Xenopus tropicalis: one gene and its partners. The protein of the gene in region 2 purifies or fractionates together with the protein of the main gene of each other region. This does not show direct contact. Links are inferred from orthologs where the notes say so. Each region holds a gene or a part of one and is shown on either strand. Other genes may lie near its edges.

The links.
Region 1: the proteins of nup62 (region 2) and nup88 purify together in Homo sapiens (co-immunoprecipitation; 4 studies listed by BioGRID and IntAct, counting the BioPlex papers as one, with this or other methods). This does not show direct contact. The link is inferred for Xenopus tropicalis from reciprocal best matches to the Homo sapiens genes NUP62 and NUP88.
Region 3: the proteins of nup62 (region 2) and nup98 purify together in Homo sapiens (affinity purification with western blotting; 3 studies listed by BioGRID and IntAct, with this or other methods). This does not show direct contact. The link is inferred for Xenopus tropicalis from reciprocal best matches to the Homo sapiens genes NUP62 and NUP98.
Region 4: the proteins of nup62 (region 2) and nup214 purify together in Homo sapiens (affinity purification with mass spectrometry; 5 studies listed by BioGRID and IntAct, with this or other methods). This does not show direct contact. The link is inferred for Xenopus tropicalis from reciprocal best matches to the Homo sapiens genes NUP62 and NUP214.

The regions. Positions count from the first base shown.
Region 1 is NC_030678.2:105,080,629-105,084,128, forward strand, and holds part of nup88 (nuclear pore complex protein Nup88), read right to left. Parts: intron 3,128-3,500; coding exon 3,002-3,127; intron 2,407-3,001; coding exon 2,320-2,406; intron 274-2,319; coding exon 100-273; intron 1-99. UniProt on the Homo sapiens protein: Component of nuclear pore complex.
Region 2 is NC_030684.2:38,701,771-38,705,270, reverse strand, and holds part of nup62 (nucleoporin-62 C-terminal-like protein), read right to left. Parts: intron 3,187-3,500; coding exon 3,052-3,186; intron 1,788-3,051; coding exon 1,676-1,787; intron 1,233-1,675; coding exon 1,166-1,232; intron 1-1,165. UniProt on the Homo sapiens protein: Essential component of the nuclear pore complex. The N-terminal is probably involved in nucleocytoplasmic transport.
Region 3 is NC_030678.2:177,432,874-177,435,279, reverse strand, and holds part of nup98 (nuclear pore complex protein Nup98-Nup96), read left to right. Parts: intron 1-573; coding exon 574-728; intron 729-804; coding exon 805-916; intron 917-2,183; coding exon 2,184-2,395; 3' UTR 2,396-2,406. UniProt on the Homo sapiens protein: Plays a role in the nuclear pore complex (NPC) assembly and/or maintenance. NUP98 and NUP96 are involved in the bidirectional transport across the NPC. May anchor NUP153 and TPR to the NPC.
Region 4 is NC_030684.2:12,374,864-12,378,363, forward strand, and holds part of nup214 (nuclear pore complex protein Nup214), read right to left. Parts: intron 2,919-3,500; coding exon 2,848-2,918; intron 2,751-2,847; coding exon 1,092-2,750; intron 1,005-1,091; coding exon 934-1,004; intron 1-933. UniProt on the Homo sapiens protein: Part of the nuclear pore complex. Has a critical role in nucleocytoplasmic transport.

The sequences.
Region 1 (3,500 bases), on a different chromosome or scaffold from region 2:
ATAAGATCAAAAAGACATACATTTAAGCTTCTTAAGATAAAAGTTTTAATGTACTGTATTTTCCATTTTTGCATTTTATTGTAGAGTAACATGTCCCACCTCTTCTGAAGATCAATGTACATCAGGTAGGTTTCTCCAGTTTCATATAAGATATAAAGAGGATAAGCCACCGTGTCTTCCTTATTATATTGTCCAAAACCTTTTGGAAGGGGTGTAAGTGGACCGAAATCACAAGCAACTGCAGTCTCACCAAGGGAGGCTTTATAAGATCGCCTGCAATCAAACACAAATCTTTTTACACTCCTATACATCACAAGCTGCAGTTCATGTCACACAGCCCCTCCAATAATATATCAGCATCTCTACAGTCAGCTACAGTGGATACTAAGTATACTAGTTCAGAGGATAAAGCATGTGAATATCAAAATAAACCAATTAGAATCTTTGCTGACCCCTTCTATTTTTAGATTTTACAGGAATCTTGAACAACTTGAAGAAAAGATTAAAAAAAAAAAAAAAAAAAAAAAATACAGCAGGATAGGGGTTGAAAGGAACCACAAAGCATTTAAGTTCTGGTGAAGGTTCCTGGTATACTTTTTTGACAAAACGTACTTTTACGCTGTTTAAAGTGCCATTAAACTGACTTGGAGAAGGTCCGACAACACACTGAACAGTTTAGTAGTAATTATACTACACCCACACAGCACTTGGATCACCTCCCAGGTGAGAATGTAGAAGATACAAATGGCTGAATTATTGGCCACTGCCTTTTTGTTCACTCCAAGATCATGACATCTCTTTTGTAGCTGTGTGACGTATGCCATAGTTGCACACTGCACTATTGCTTTACTGTAGGCAGCTTTTGCCACAATGAAAGAAGAATGGAAAGTCAGCATGGCATGACAAAACAGGTGCCCATTTTTGAATTTCTGGTTAGGAGGCAATCTTTGATTGCATAAAAACCACGTATAATGCCAAAAAGAGCCTCCTGTAGGCCGCCAGTCCACATAGGGGCTATTAAGTAGCCAATTAAAGCTCTTACCGCTACCCCAGGAACCCTTTTCATGCTTGCGTTGCTCCCCAACACTTTTTCCATTTGAATGTGGCTCACGGGTATAAAAGGTTGGGGATCCCTGATCTACATGGAGCCACGCCCACAGTAAAAAGACAGATGTATCAAAATGTGAGCTTAGAGCTTAAAGGAGACATATAGGATAATTGTAGGCAATTATGAACAATATATGGTGCTTGTTTCACTTTGGTGTAAAATTAATACTACCTGTAAAAATGGCCCCTTTATTGGAGCTTCTCAGGTCCCTGTCTGTGTTTCAAGTGAGGGGTGGGAGTGCCTTAAAAGCCAAAAGCACAGTAGGATGGAGATAGCCAATCACAGCCCTGCAGCCAAACAAGCAAAGACGGGCTTCATTTCACTTCATCAGGTCAGCCTACCTGCTGAATAGTTACTATCCTACAGTGCAGTGTGCTGAGTGCCGCTGGCCCCCCTGCACAGCCTTTCAATAAATCAGACTGAAACACTACTTTTTAAAGCACATTCTATCACATTCTATTCTAACACACTATTGTTTTTTTTCACACAATATGTCTCCTTTAATACATAACCCCCCCCCCCCACGTTCTGTTCATTCCTATGGAATTTTTAGAAGCATATTTATCAAATAATGAATTATAACTTTCAACCATTGATACACTTCTAAAAATCCCATAGGAATGAATAAAAACCTGGGTGAGTTTTTATGTATTAAGGTCTATACTCACATTTTGATAAATTTGCCCCTAAATGTTAAGATGGAATCAAGACTCTCTACAGAGGATAAATCATATTTAATAATAAAATGATCTTAATACAAAAATCTCCAGAAGACCCTACATCTAGTTTTACAAGACTGAGTTACAATTACAACACTTACTTTTAAATGAGGCATTGCAGGCATGATAGCCGAGAAGCTTGGTAAGTAGGTAAAAGCATGTTCAAAAGGCATACATGTCTAGGTAGTTTATCACCCCAGCAACATATACACACTTTCCCCAACTTCTTAGTATTATGTATTTAAGTTCATGCAGCTAAAGCTAGATTCTCTATTTCATTTTGCTTGCCATGGTAGCAAAAAATAAATTTTCCTGTAGAACATACAATACAGCCTTCTATCGTGGGGGACTATGGATAGGAGAAGATTAAACCAATTTTCCTAATAACTTAAAATTAATCCCACAAAACCGGCATATATATAGAAAAAGACCCAGAAATTTAGGCATAGTACTTCAATTTGGACAAAGCCAAAACAGTGTTACTAAGCATACCCATTATGGGGCAGTGTGGTTTCCTCTTCAGCACTGGAGAGGGAGATAACTTTTTCAGGTGTCAGTGGATCGTGAAGATTATATAATCTAAAAAAAATATATATATATATATATATATATATATATATATATATATATATATATATATATTGTAAATGGCAATACAAACATGAAAAAAAAAAAAAAAAAAAAGATATGCATACCTAACACATTAGAAAATGCTGGATACTGATCTACATTAAAATGACTGGATAATCCAGATTGCACTCTATTCTTATCAGATTCAAGGAGTTTTTTTTTTTTAAACAAATAAATATTACACCCCTTTAAAAGGGCAGCATTCCCCTATATATACCTATAAACAAAAACACAATAAATAGGACTTTTTTGGAAATGTATACTGCTTAATACTATTAAATGAAATAAGTATAACAGACATGCAGTTTTCATCAAACAGGAGCAAAGGTTTTACAGAAGTAATTTTAATCACCGGGAGCAGGGGGTGCCTAACATTTTCGCACCCTCCAGTGATTATTTCTCTCTCCTTTAAGAAAAAGATAAAGGAACCTGTTTGTGAAAAAGAATTACTATGCATTCTCTGCAATTTGGATACATGTACATATATGTATCCCTAAAACTGAAAAAAACCTTTGGCATGGTATAATAATAAATAATAATAAACCTTAATATGTTATCAGATGTCAGCAAAATTAAATGAGGTTCCTGGGTCTCACTTGGGTACCAGAGGGCCTGCTTCAGAACTAAAGAGGTAGAGCTTGTGAAAATCCTTTCAGCGATGGGGATAGCCCTGTTGGGGGATAAAATAAACAAGTAAACATTTGCCCAGTCCGATTTGAAAATCATTAGACTTAAAAGGATAGTGAAACATTACAATTTTAACAGGAACGTGTCACTATGCCAACAAAAATCCTAGGGATGATATACTTTTCTAATGGATGTGCCCCATTGCCGTCCCCCAGCTCACGACTAAATAACTTAGTTTGGTCTCATGGCTAAATGTTGAGCTGCTTCCTGGTTTAAGTTGTGCTGTGGGGGGCGGGGCAACATAGGCTGATGCACTGTTTACATTTGTCATCCAGCTTATCATAATGTTGTCCCATCCACAAGTGTGCTGACACTCATGAAGTTTTCAAGTTCAATCCTCGCAACCGACCAACACA
Region 2 (3,500 bases):
GCGCGCAACCCGGAAATAGTAAGAAAAATTGCCAGGAGGCTCTGTGAGCTGTCGGGGGTGCCTGCGGCTGCCTGGTCCGTAAGGTTTATTTATGTGAAGGGGATGGGGGGGTGTTTGGGGTTGGATGGGGGGTTGGATGGGGGGGTGTTTGGGGTTGGGGGGGGGGTGTTTGGGGTGGTCACGTAATCATGCATGGGGAAAAAAAAATACCGTCAAATACCGTGATACCGATATAATAAAAAAAATACCGTGATATAAATTTTTGGTCATACCGCCCAGCACTAACTGCACCAATAGTGAAATTCTGTGGGCCATGCTGTGCCTGTCGTGAAATTCTTAGGCCAACACCGTACCGTCTGTGAAATGCAAGTGGCTCATGCAAAGGTCCATTTACTTTTTTTTTTTTTAGTTGCCCATATGCTTTAAGATCACAAAATGAGTGGATCTTTCGCTGATAAGCTCACTTTAATCACCTTGATCATCTGGCCCAAGGATCAAACGATTGGATGACACTGACATGATATGGGCCATAGGGATAAGGACCACATCAATGCACCAATGCTATCAAGATCTGGCTGATTATCGTCTGGGATAATGGGACGACAAGCTGCCACCTTCAGTGTCCAGACCATTTTAACTATAAATATTGTCCTTCCTTATTTATACCTGTTTATTAAAACTATGAAACAAAATCCATGCTTGGTTATAGGTGACTGCAATTCACTTCAATGGCAGGCGACCCAAGGGGTGACAAAGATTTCTCCACAAGAGCAAACAAGTATTCCATGCACCTCAAGTACAACTGTAAACAAGCTGTGCACGGATACCCACACACAAAATTGCATAAAAGCAAGCCAATAAACTACATGTTTCAAAGAACAAAGTGTTCTATTAAATGCCAGATGTAGTCCTTCTACTTCCTTTTACTTTTTGATAAATAGTGTAAAGCATAGCGCTATTCAATATAAAAGAAAGCTACAGCCTTTCTTTCCTGAGCAATCTATGAAGAACAGTTTCCACACAGCATTTTCAGCTTTGACCCAGAACAGCATCATTACTATTCTGCACAGAACAGATCCGATTTAAAATAAACAAAAATGCTATTATTTTATGGTATGCTAGTTTCCAATACAAACTTTGCGCAAAGCCTCATTCTTCAACTCACCACTGTTCTGATCAATCCACTGTAAAGAGTCCATGTGGGCATTGAGAATCTTGCATATCTGCTGGAGCTGAAGAAATACAAATACAAATGAACACTCCAAAAGTTAAAAGGTGATAATGCTAAGAGAGGCCTGACAGTTATAAAGTAAAAGCAGCCAGCAATGCAGAGTTAGTAATTGGCAAAGATGTGAGTAACCACTGTAAAAAGATAGAAGCATTAGAGCAGGGATTCTCAAACTATGACCCGCGGGCCGGATCCTGACCCCCAGGTTAATTTACCCGGCCACCACTGTGTCCTCACCCCTGGCAGGGGAGAGAATGCAGGAGTCGGCCATAGTTTGTCGGGGGGTGGTGGTCTGGCCGATCAACAGTCTGAGGGACCATGAACTGGCCCCTTGCTTAAGAAGTTTGAGGACCCCTTTGATTAGAGTGATAAAGTATGATCCAAGAAAATGTAATAAGAGATAAATAAGAAACATGAAATCTCTTCCAGAGAAGAAAGAGTACTAACCGGGTTTCCAGCATCCCCTGGCCCAGCTGATGTGTTCAGATGCTCTATAACCTCCTTTAGATCCTGGGCCATGCGCTTCAGCTGGGCATCAATGTTTTCTGCCAGCTTGTACCTGAAAACACACCAAATGTTTCGTAATTTCAGGATTACTCTACAGGTTACATAAACCCAAAGATAGCAAAATGTGTGCAGCAATGTAAAAATGTACCTGCTTGCTAAAGCTTGACAAAAAGAAAAAGAATAAAAAACAGAAAACACACTAAATATATCTAGTTTCACAGAACATCAGTACTGATGATGTGAATTCTGTGACTGCACAGCATAAAAAAAAAATACCTATAGAAAAAGTGAACAAAATCTAAAGAATACAGAGTTAATTTACAGCTAGTGTTCTGATTTATGCTGCAAGTGAATTTAAAGAATTTATACAGGTTATACAGGTATGGTACCCATTATCTAAAATGCTTGGGACCTAGGGCTTTCCGGATAAGGCATCTCCATACCTTAAGTCTATTTAAAAATTATTTAAACATTAAAACCATTAGGATTGCTTTGCCTCCAATTAATTATATCTAAGTTGGGATCAAATACAAGGTACTGTTTTATTATTACAGAGAAAAAGAAAATCAATTTTAAAAATTAGATTTGCTAATAATGTTGGTAACAGATGGCGTTCCTGTAATTCAGAGCTTTCTGGCTTATGGGTTTCCGGATAACAGATCCCATACCTGTACTGGAAAGTTACATACAATTATTTTTTTTATTTCATTATGCAAACCATTATTTTTCGGTTAATATTCATTTTTTTCAGAACTTCCTATCCCTTCCTCGAGTATATAACAGGAATGTAAAAGCATAATTTCATCAAAAAGGTCTTACCTAAGGCACATCACATACACAAACATTATTTCAGAACCGAGAACTTGTTTTAAAATGATTAAGCTACACTTCACTATCCCCCTCTGAGCAGCCTTTCTTCATGCAGAGGATTTAAACGTTGGCAGCACACTCCAGGTTCATATATATATATATATATATGATTTCATGCAGAACCGACAGTTAGGTGAAATAAATTGGGGTGTCCTTCCTTTGCTTAAACAATATATTAGACCAAAGTGTATTTATAAATAACCAACTCAATGACACAACCCTGCATGGAGTGAGTAGTAAAGGGTAACATGAATGATATGCAATTTTTATTCTTGAGGGAAACATTCTGAATATGTATTATTCTTATTTCAGGAAGATATTCACAATTATTTGGCCCTAACCATGCCTTCCCTTTCTCATAACCAAAGCCTACTTGAGTATAATCACAAACCCAGATCTCCTTGTATCTTATACTTCTTAGTTATTACATTATAATACTGGCTCACGTTTTCTCTCTCTCTTCATCTGCATGCTGGAGGTAAATGGTTCCGCTCTGCTCTTTCACAGATTCCTCCAGAGGAGTCAGAAGGTCCTCCAGTTCTTTTTGCTGTGACAAGATGAAGTCCAGTTCCTGATCCAACCTGATAGAAGAGTAGAGAGGGTGAAACAGACCCAATAGCTTCCAAAGAGCAAGCTTAGCATGCAGGTGTACCTGTTTAATCACCATATATTTCTACACAGCCAGACAGAAAATGAAAATACACACAGCAAAAACAAGATTTTACTTTCTATTGAATTGTTTTTGTTTGTGGATTTTACATTACTTTAAACATTGCTTTTTCAATCTGTTCACATACTTGTTCTTGTGCCTGCTGTGAGGAAGATGATTGAACGTGATGGACATACATCTTTTTTTCAATCTAACTTACTATGTTACTATGAAATATACAGAAAA
Region 3 (2,406 bases), on a different chromosome or scaffold from region 2:
GATTTCTATTTACTGGCGCTCTTTCATTGGCTCGCAATTAGTGATGAGTCAGCGTGTTCCGTTTGCTTGGCAAAAAAATTGCAGTTGGTCTTCATTTTCTATCTATATTTTTTTTTTTTTTTTTTTAGTTCAGCAGCTATCTGGTTGCCAGGGTTCAAGTTACCTTAGTAACCAGGGAGTGGTTTGGATGAGAGACTGGTATATAAATAGGGGAGGGGCTGGATAGAAAGATAAGTAATTACAAGTAACAACAATAAAACTGGAGCCTCACAGAGCAATAGGGTTTGGCTGCCGGGGTCAGTGACCCCCATTTGAAAGCTGCAAAGAGGCAGAAGAAGGCGCAAAACATTCAAAAACAATGACAAATAATGAAGACCAATTGAAAAGTTGCTGAGAATAGGTCACTATAACATACTAAAAGTTAGTTTAAAGTGTACTACCCCTTTAACCCTCGTGCCCTTAGTATATTTAAATTTTTTTTAAGGGTCAGAGCATTCTGGGAATTGTAGTTTGGATGTTTGGGAATTACCTTTACCAACCAATGGGGGCTGATGTTGTTCCCCGTGTGCTTAGATGCCGTTATCAATGAGAACTACCGGTACCTGCGGGGGTTCCTGGGGGAGCTGGCCAGGCCCGAGCACTGCAAGCACATCCAGGACTGGGAGACTGCGGGGAAGGTCTATCTGGATTATATCAGTGTCATTGAGATGCTCAACCAGATCCGCCAGGTAACAGCGCTCTCATTGGTGGGACGCTCTGTATTAACCCATGCCGGCACAGACTAACTCTCTCCCCTGCTCATAGGACGAGTGCTCCGGCGGCGAGTTGGAGAAGTTACACACCAAAGTCATGTCTCTGTGTAAATGGGTCGAGCTGATCCAGTGCTACAGTGCCAAAGGCCGATTGGCCCAGTCGGGTAAGAACTTCCACTAACTGCCCCGGCGCTACCACCCCTCCCCGTGTGGCCATGATGGTTCTTTCCAACTCTCTCAGGAGCAGCGAATGGGCGCTTTGTCTACTGTTTTTCACTGCAGGCACAAGTTGCCCTTTAAATGCCAACTAATAGGGCTAAATTCCACAGCTAACTATGTTCCTGATCCGCCCCTTTATGCCCAGGACACACCCATGATTTTAAAGGAACAGTAACACCAGAAAGTGTTTTACAGTAATGAAAATATAAAGTACTGTAGGGATATTAGCAGTCACTGAGGGTCCAAGGCTGCAGGCTGAGTTATACAGGGAACTCTGAATATCACTCATGTATTATAAGGGATAATGTACCCCCTACTGTAACTGATAAGGATATTAGCAGTCACTGAGGGGTTCTGTGCCCCCCATATAAAGGCACAAGGCTGCAGGCTGAGTTATACAGGGAACTCTGAGTATCACTCATGTATTATAAGGGATAATGTACCCCCTACTGTAAATGATAAGGATATTAGCAGTCACTGAGGGGTTCTGTGCCCCCCCATATAAAGGCACAAGGCTGCAGGCTGAGTTATACAGGGAACTCTGAGTATCACTCATGTATTATAAGGGATAATGTACCCCCTACTGTAAATGATAAGGATATTAGCAGTCACTGAGGGGTTCTGTGCCCCCCATATAAAGGCACAAGGCTGCAGGCTGAGTTATACAGGGAACTCTGAGTATCACTCATGTATTATAAGGGATACTGTACCCCCTACTGTAAATGATAAGGATATTAGCAGTCACTGAGGGGTTCTGTGCCCCCCCATATAAAGGCACAAGGCTGCAGGCTGAGTTATACAGGGAACTCTGAGTATCACTCATGTATTATAAGGGATACTGTACCCCCTACTGTAAATGATAAGGATATTAGCAGTCACTGAGGGGTTCTGTGCCCCCCATATAAAGGCACAAGGCTGCAGGCCGAGTGCTTTTATACAGATCATGTAAAATATAAGGATATTAGAAGACACCTCACTTTATTATAATATATACAAGTTTCAGTGAGCCATGTGACAAAAATGACATCACTAAGCTCCAATTATAACTGATGACATCACTAAGCACTGTTTATAAGGATAGAATTCAGTTTGGTCCCATAGGGAAATGACCCGACTATATTATGAATTAATTACTTTGTAACTTTCACTTTTGTGGTTACTGTTCCTTTAAGTAAATGATTCACTTAATGAACGATTACACTTTTTTCTCAGAAATGGCGAAACGCGTTGCCAACATCCTTCGAGTGGTGCTGAGCCTGCAGCAGCCCCCGGAATCCATGTCGGACTCCTCCTCTGAGCCCCGCGTGCCTTTGAGACTGCTGGCTCCGCACATCGGGCGCCTCCCTATGCCGGAAGACTACGCCCTGGAGGAGCTGCGAGGCCTCACGCAGTCGTATCTAAGGGAACTGATCTGCGGCAGCTAATGATCCCGCCT
Region 4 (3,500 bases), about 26 Mb from region 2:
GAAAGGAAAACCAAACTGAACTAGGGCAGGTCCCCCCCATCTCATTCCTGTACTTTAATTTGGCCACCCCGGTCCCATGAACTTTTAAATCATAATCATTTACTGCTGGTCTAGTACTCAAATGGGCCACCCCTTTCCTGTCCTGGTACAACAGAAGCTACTGTTGTGAACCATTCACATTGGTATTAAGGTGAAGATACACAGAGCTTCCAGTAGCAGCTACTTGTCATAGCTACTAAAATAGACAATGCTGATCATTTACTAATAATTGTCTATACGTGTGTTTTAGCAGAGGCAATTCTCAGTATTGTCTATGGCAGGGGATTTTCTGTAGCTCAGTAGCCATGAAAAAGTAGCTGCTACTAGTAGCTCAGTGTGTCTTTACCCTTAAGGAGCTTGAATGGGAAGCACATGTGTATTGCAAGGCCCTTTATATTATAGACCCCAAGCACAGAAAGCAATTAAACATTGGGGTTTACTGTGAATTTATCCTCTTGTGGCATCAGCTCTGAAGCTAACAGTACATGGGGCATTGTGAAAGTTGCTGTAAGTAGGCAGAAAGCATAGAAAACTAAGGGAAAAGTGGTGCCTAAACTCATCCCACATAGGGGGAAGCCATAGAACAACAGTCTACCCAGGATAGGCAGTATAGGAACATCCTCTGGTGTCCAGATAAGTCTGGAACTTCCACAATGATGATTGATTGACGAGATCTTAACCTCCTGAGGACACTAGAAAAACTGGTCCATGTGCAGCTGAGCTTGGGGGTATAACTAAGATGGAGGTGCTTCTTCTCCTCTAGTGTCCTGCCTCCAAGTCATACAAGCTATACCCCATTGTTCCTGTCCCCACCCAACGAGATGTGAGAGAAAACAGTGTTTTCTCAGTTTGCATGGTACGTGTGTAGGTTACGATAAACACACAAATCCTTACCTGTCCAAAGACACTGGTGTTTCCACTCTGAGACTGACTGAACAAGGAACCAGAAGAGCCGGAAGCAAATCCTACAAAAGCAGAAACCATTATTGACTGGTACATATATTTGAAGGCATTTATAGCAAAAAAAGGGATGGTTGGTGACACACCCTTACCTGCTGGTTGGCCAAAACCAAACACAGAAGATGAGGTGGTGGTTGTAGAGGAGCTGGCACTTCCAAACACAGGGGCAGCTTGGGGGAATGTGGCACTCTGCCCAAAGACTGGAGTACTGCTTTGTCCGAAGAGTCCTCCTGAAGTGGATGTGCCGCTAGTATTGGAAGGTTGCCCAAAAGAGAAGGAACTAGCACTGCTTGTGCTTGCAGCACTGCCAAAAAGGCTGCCGGCGCTAGATGTAGCTGTTGATGCTGGTGGTTGCCCAAAAGCCGGCTGGGCCCCAAAAGCAGGCTGTGCAAAAGGAAAAGTATTTTGGGAGTTGGGAGGACCTTTCCACAATGAAGGAGCTTGGCCAAAGGAGGGCTGTCCAAAGCCTCCGCTCCCACCTGTCGTACCAAATGTAGATGTGCCAAATCCTGTACTGGCTGTTGTACTAACGGAACTGCTGGTCGGCTGAGCAAAAGGAGAGGGAGTTGAACCAGAAGCTACGGCTTGGCCGAATACTGGGGTGGACACCGCTGCTGGAGTGGACGCTGCACTTGCAGTTGATTGAGGAAACGCAGAACTTGCAGCAGTTGGCTGTACTGGTAGAGATACAGTCTGTGTGTTTTCTGCAGCGGGAGCAGCAGCAGCAACGGGGGGTGCACTTGTAACCAGCACTGGCACCTGGGAGGAAAGGCCTACAGCCGGGGTACTTGCTGAAGGGGTTTGAGATGCAACCACTGTGGATGTGAAAGCTACATTCTGACCTGAAATGACCGAGGTAGAGAGAGGGGGAACCGCCGCTCCTTCTACCTTTGCATCAGCTGTGGGAGGAATTGCAAGAGTTGGTACAGGTGGGGGCAAAACAGTGGCAGTTGTTGCTGCAGGAGTCACTGTGGCAACCTGTTCGGCAACTGACTGACTGGTCAGTGCTTGTTGCTGGGAAGTGGATGAATCTGCAGGTTCAGACACAGGTTTTATTGGCTGCTTAACATCCAGTCCGCTGTTGACAGGAGCTGAAGGAATTGTTGTTGCTGGGGCTGGAGCTGTGGAAACCAGGAGGCTTTGGAACGAGGCCGGAACTGCAGAGGTAGCTCCCGTTGAAGCGGCAGTGCTCTGTGGCAGCCCAAAAGAGAAGGCTGGCTTGTTGCCACTTTGGGTGAATGCACTTGCTGCAGATCCTGTACTTGTTAACTGCGCATTTCCAAATAAAGAACCAGAGGTGCTGCCGGTTGAGGATGGTGCTTCTCCAGCCTTCGCTGGCTGCGGAGCTCCACTAAAACTAAACAAACCAGCGTTACTGGGCAACTTGACTGGTTGTGCAGCAGGGGGCGCTTTGGCAACTTCTGCCTTGGACGCCTCATCAGCCTGACCAACACGCAGGCCTGAGAAGCTTCCTAAAGTCTCTCCACCTGAAAACCCTTGAAATAGGCCATCCCCGGGTTTGCCGATGGCTGCAGCAGTGCTAGTAACGGTGGATGAGGATGACACGCCTGTAACAACACTAGGTTTGCCCAATGTGGATTCCACGGTGGAAGTACTGGAGGTGGAGGAAGCAGTTTTAACTGATCCAAAAGAAAACGATCCTTCTGCCCCAGGACCAAATAAAGACTTGCTGGTACCTCCAAACACAAAGGAGGATGGTTGGTTGGAATCCCTTGCAGCGGTAACAGAACCTGAAAAAGGAAAGAAAATTGCAGTCCATCATATCACCATGATAGTAGTTCAAGCAGAACAAGAACAGTAATATATATATTTTCCAGGGTGAGTTACCTGCAGAGCTGCCTCCCATGGCAGAGGTTGTAACAGGAGCAGAAGATACACTGTTGAAACTGAAACCACTGCTGTGAACACAAAAATGGAAGTGAGAGAATGAAGATGTTTTTTTTTCTTATAGTTACAAGTTATAAGCATTCATCTGCTTCAGGGACACTGCAAGCCCTGTTTCAGAAGTCACTGTTGGAATAGTTTAGTCGGACTGGGGGACCAATGATCCACTCGGAACCTAACTCAAGGGCCCACCACCCAGAAACCGCTGTTCCTGTTCCACTTTTTACTGTGCATTCCATAGTGGAACACATGGCAGCAGAGTCGTGCTGGCTGGGATCGCTTGCTTGCGAGTAGGTGGCAGGGCGACACAGGGTCCAGTATCCCAGTGGGCCAGTCCAACTCAGCCACCACTGGCCTCTAGCAGTAAAGGGCTCTTCCTCCAAAAAAAACATGCCTGCAATAGCATCCCATTTTCATTTCTGCTAACTCATAGCACACAATCTTGGCTGCTGTCGGAAGCTTAGCTACTCACCAGCAGCCCAGAGCACACTGAGCATGTGCAGTGTCACTGACACAAAAAGATGGCCGAACAAGAACCAAAATGGGGAGCTATTTTAAGGCCTGGATCATTACAGTTATAGGACGCCTGGACTTCA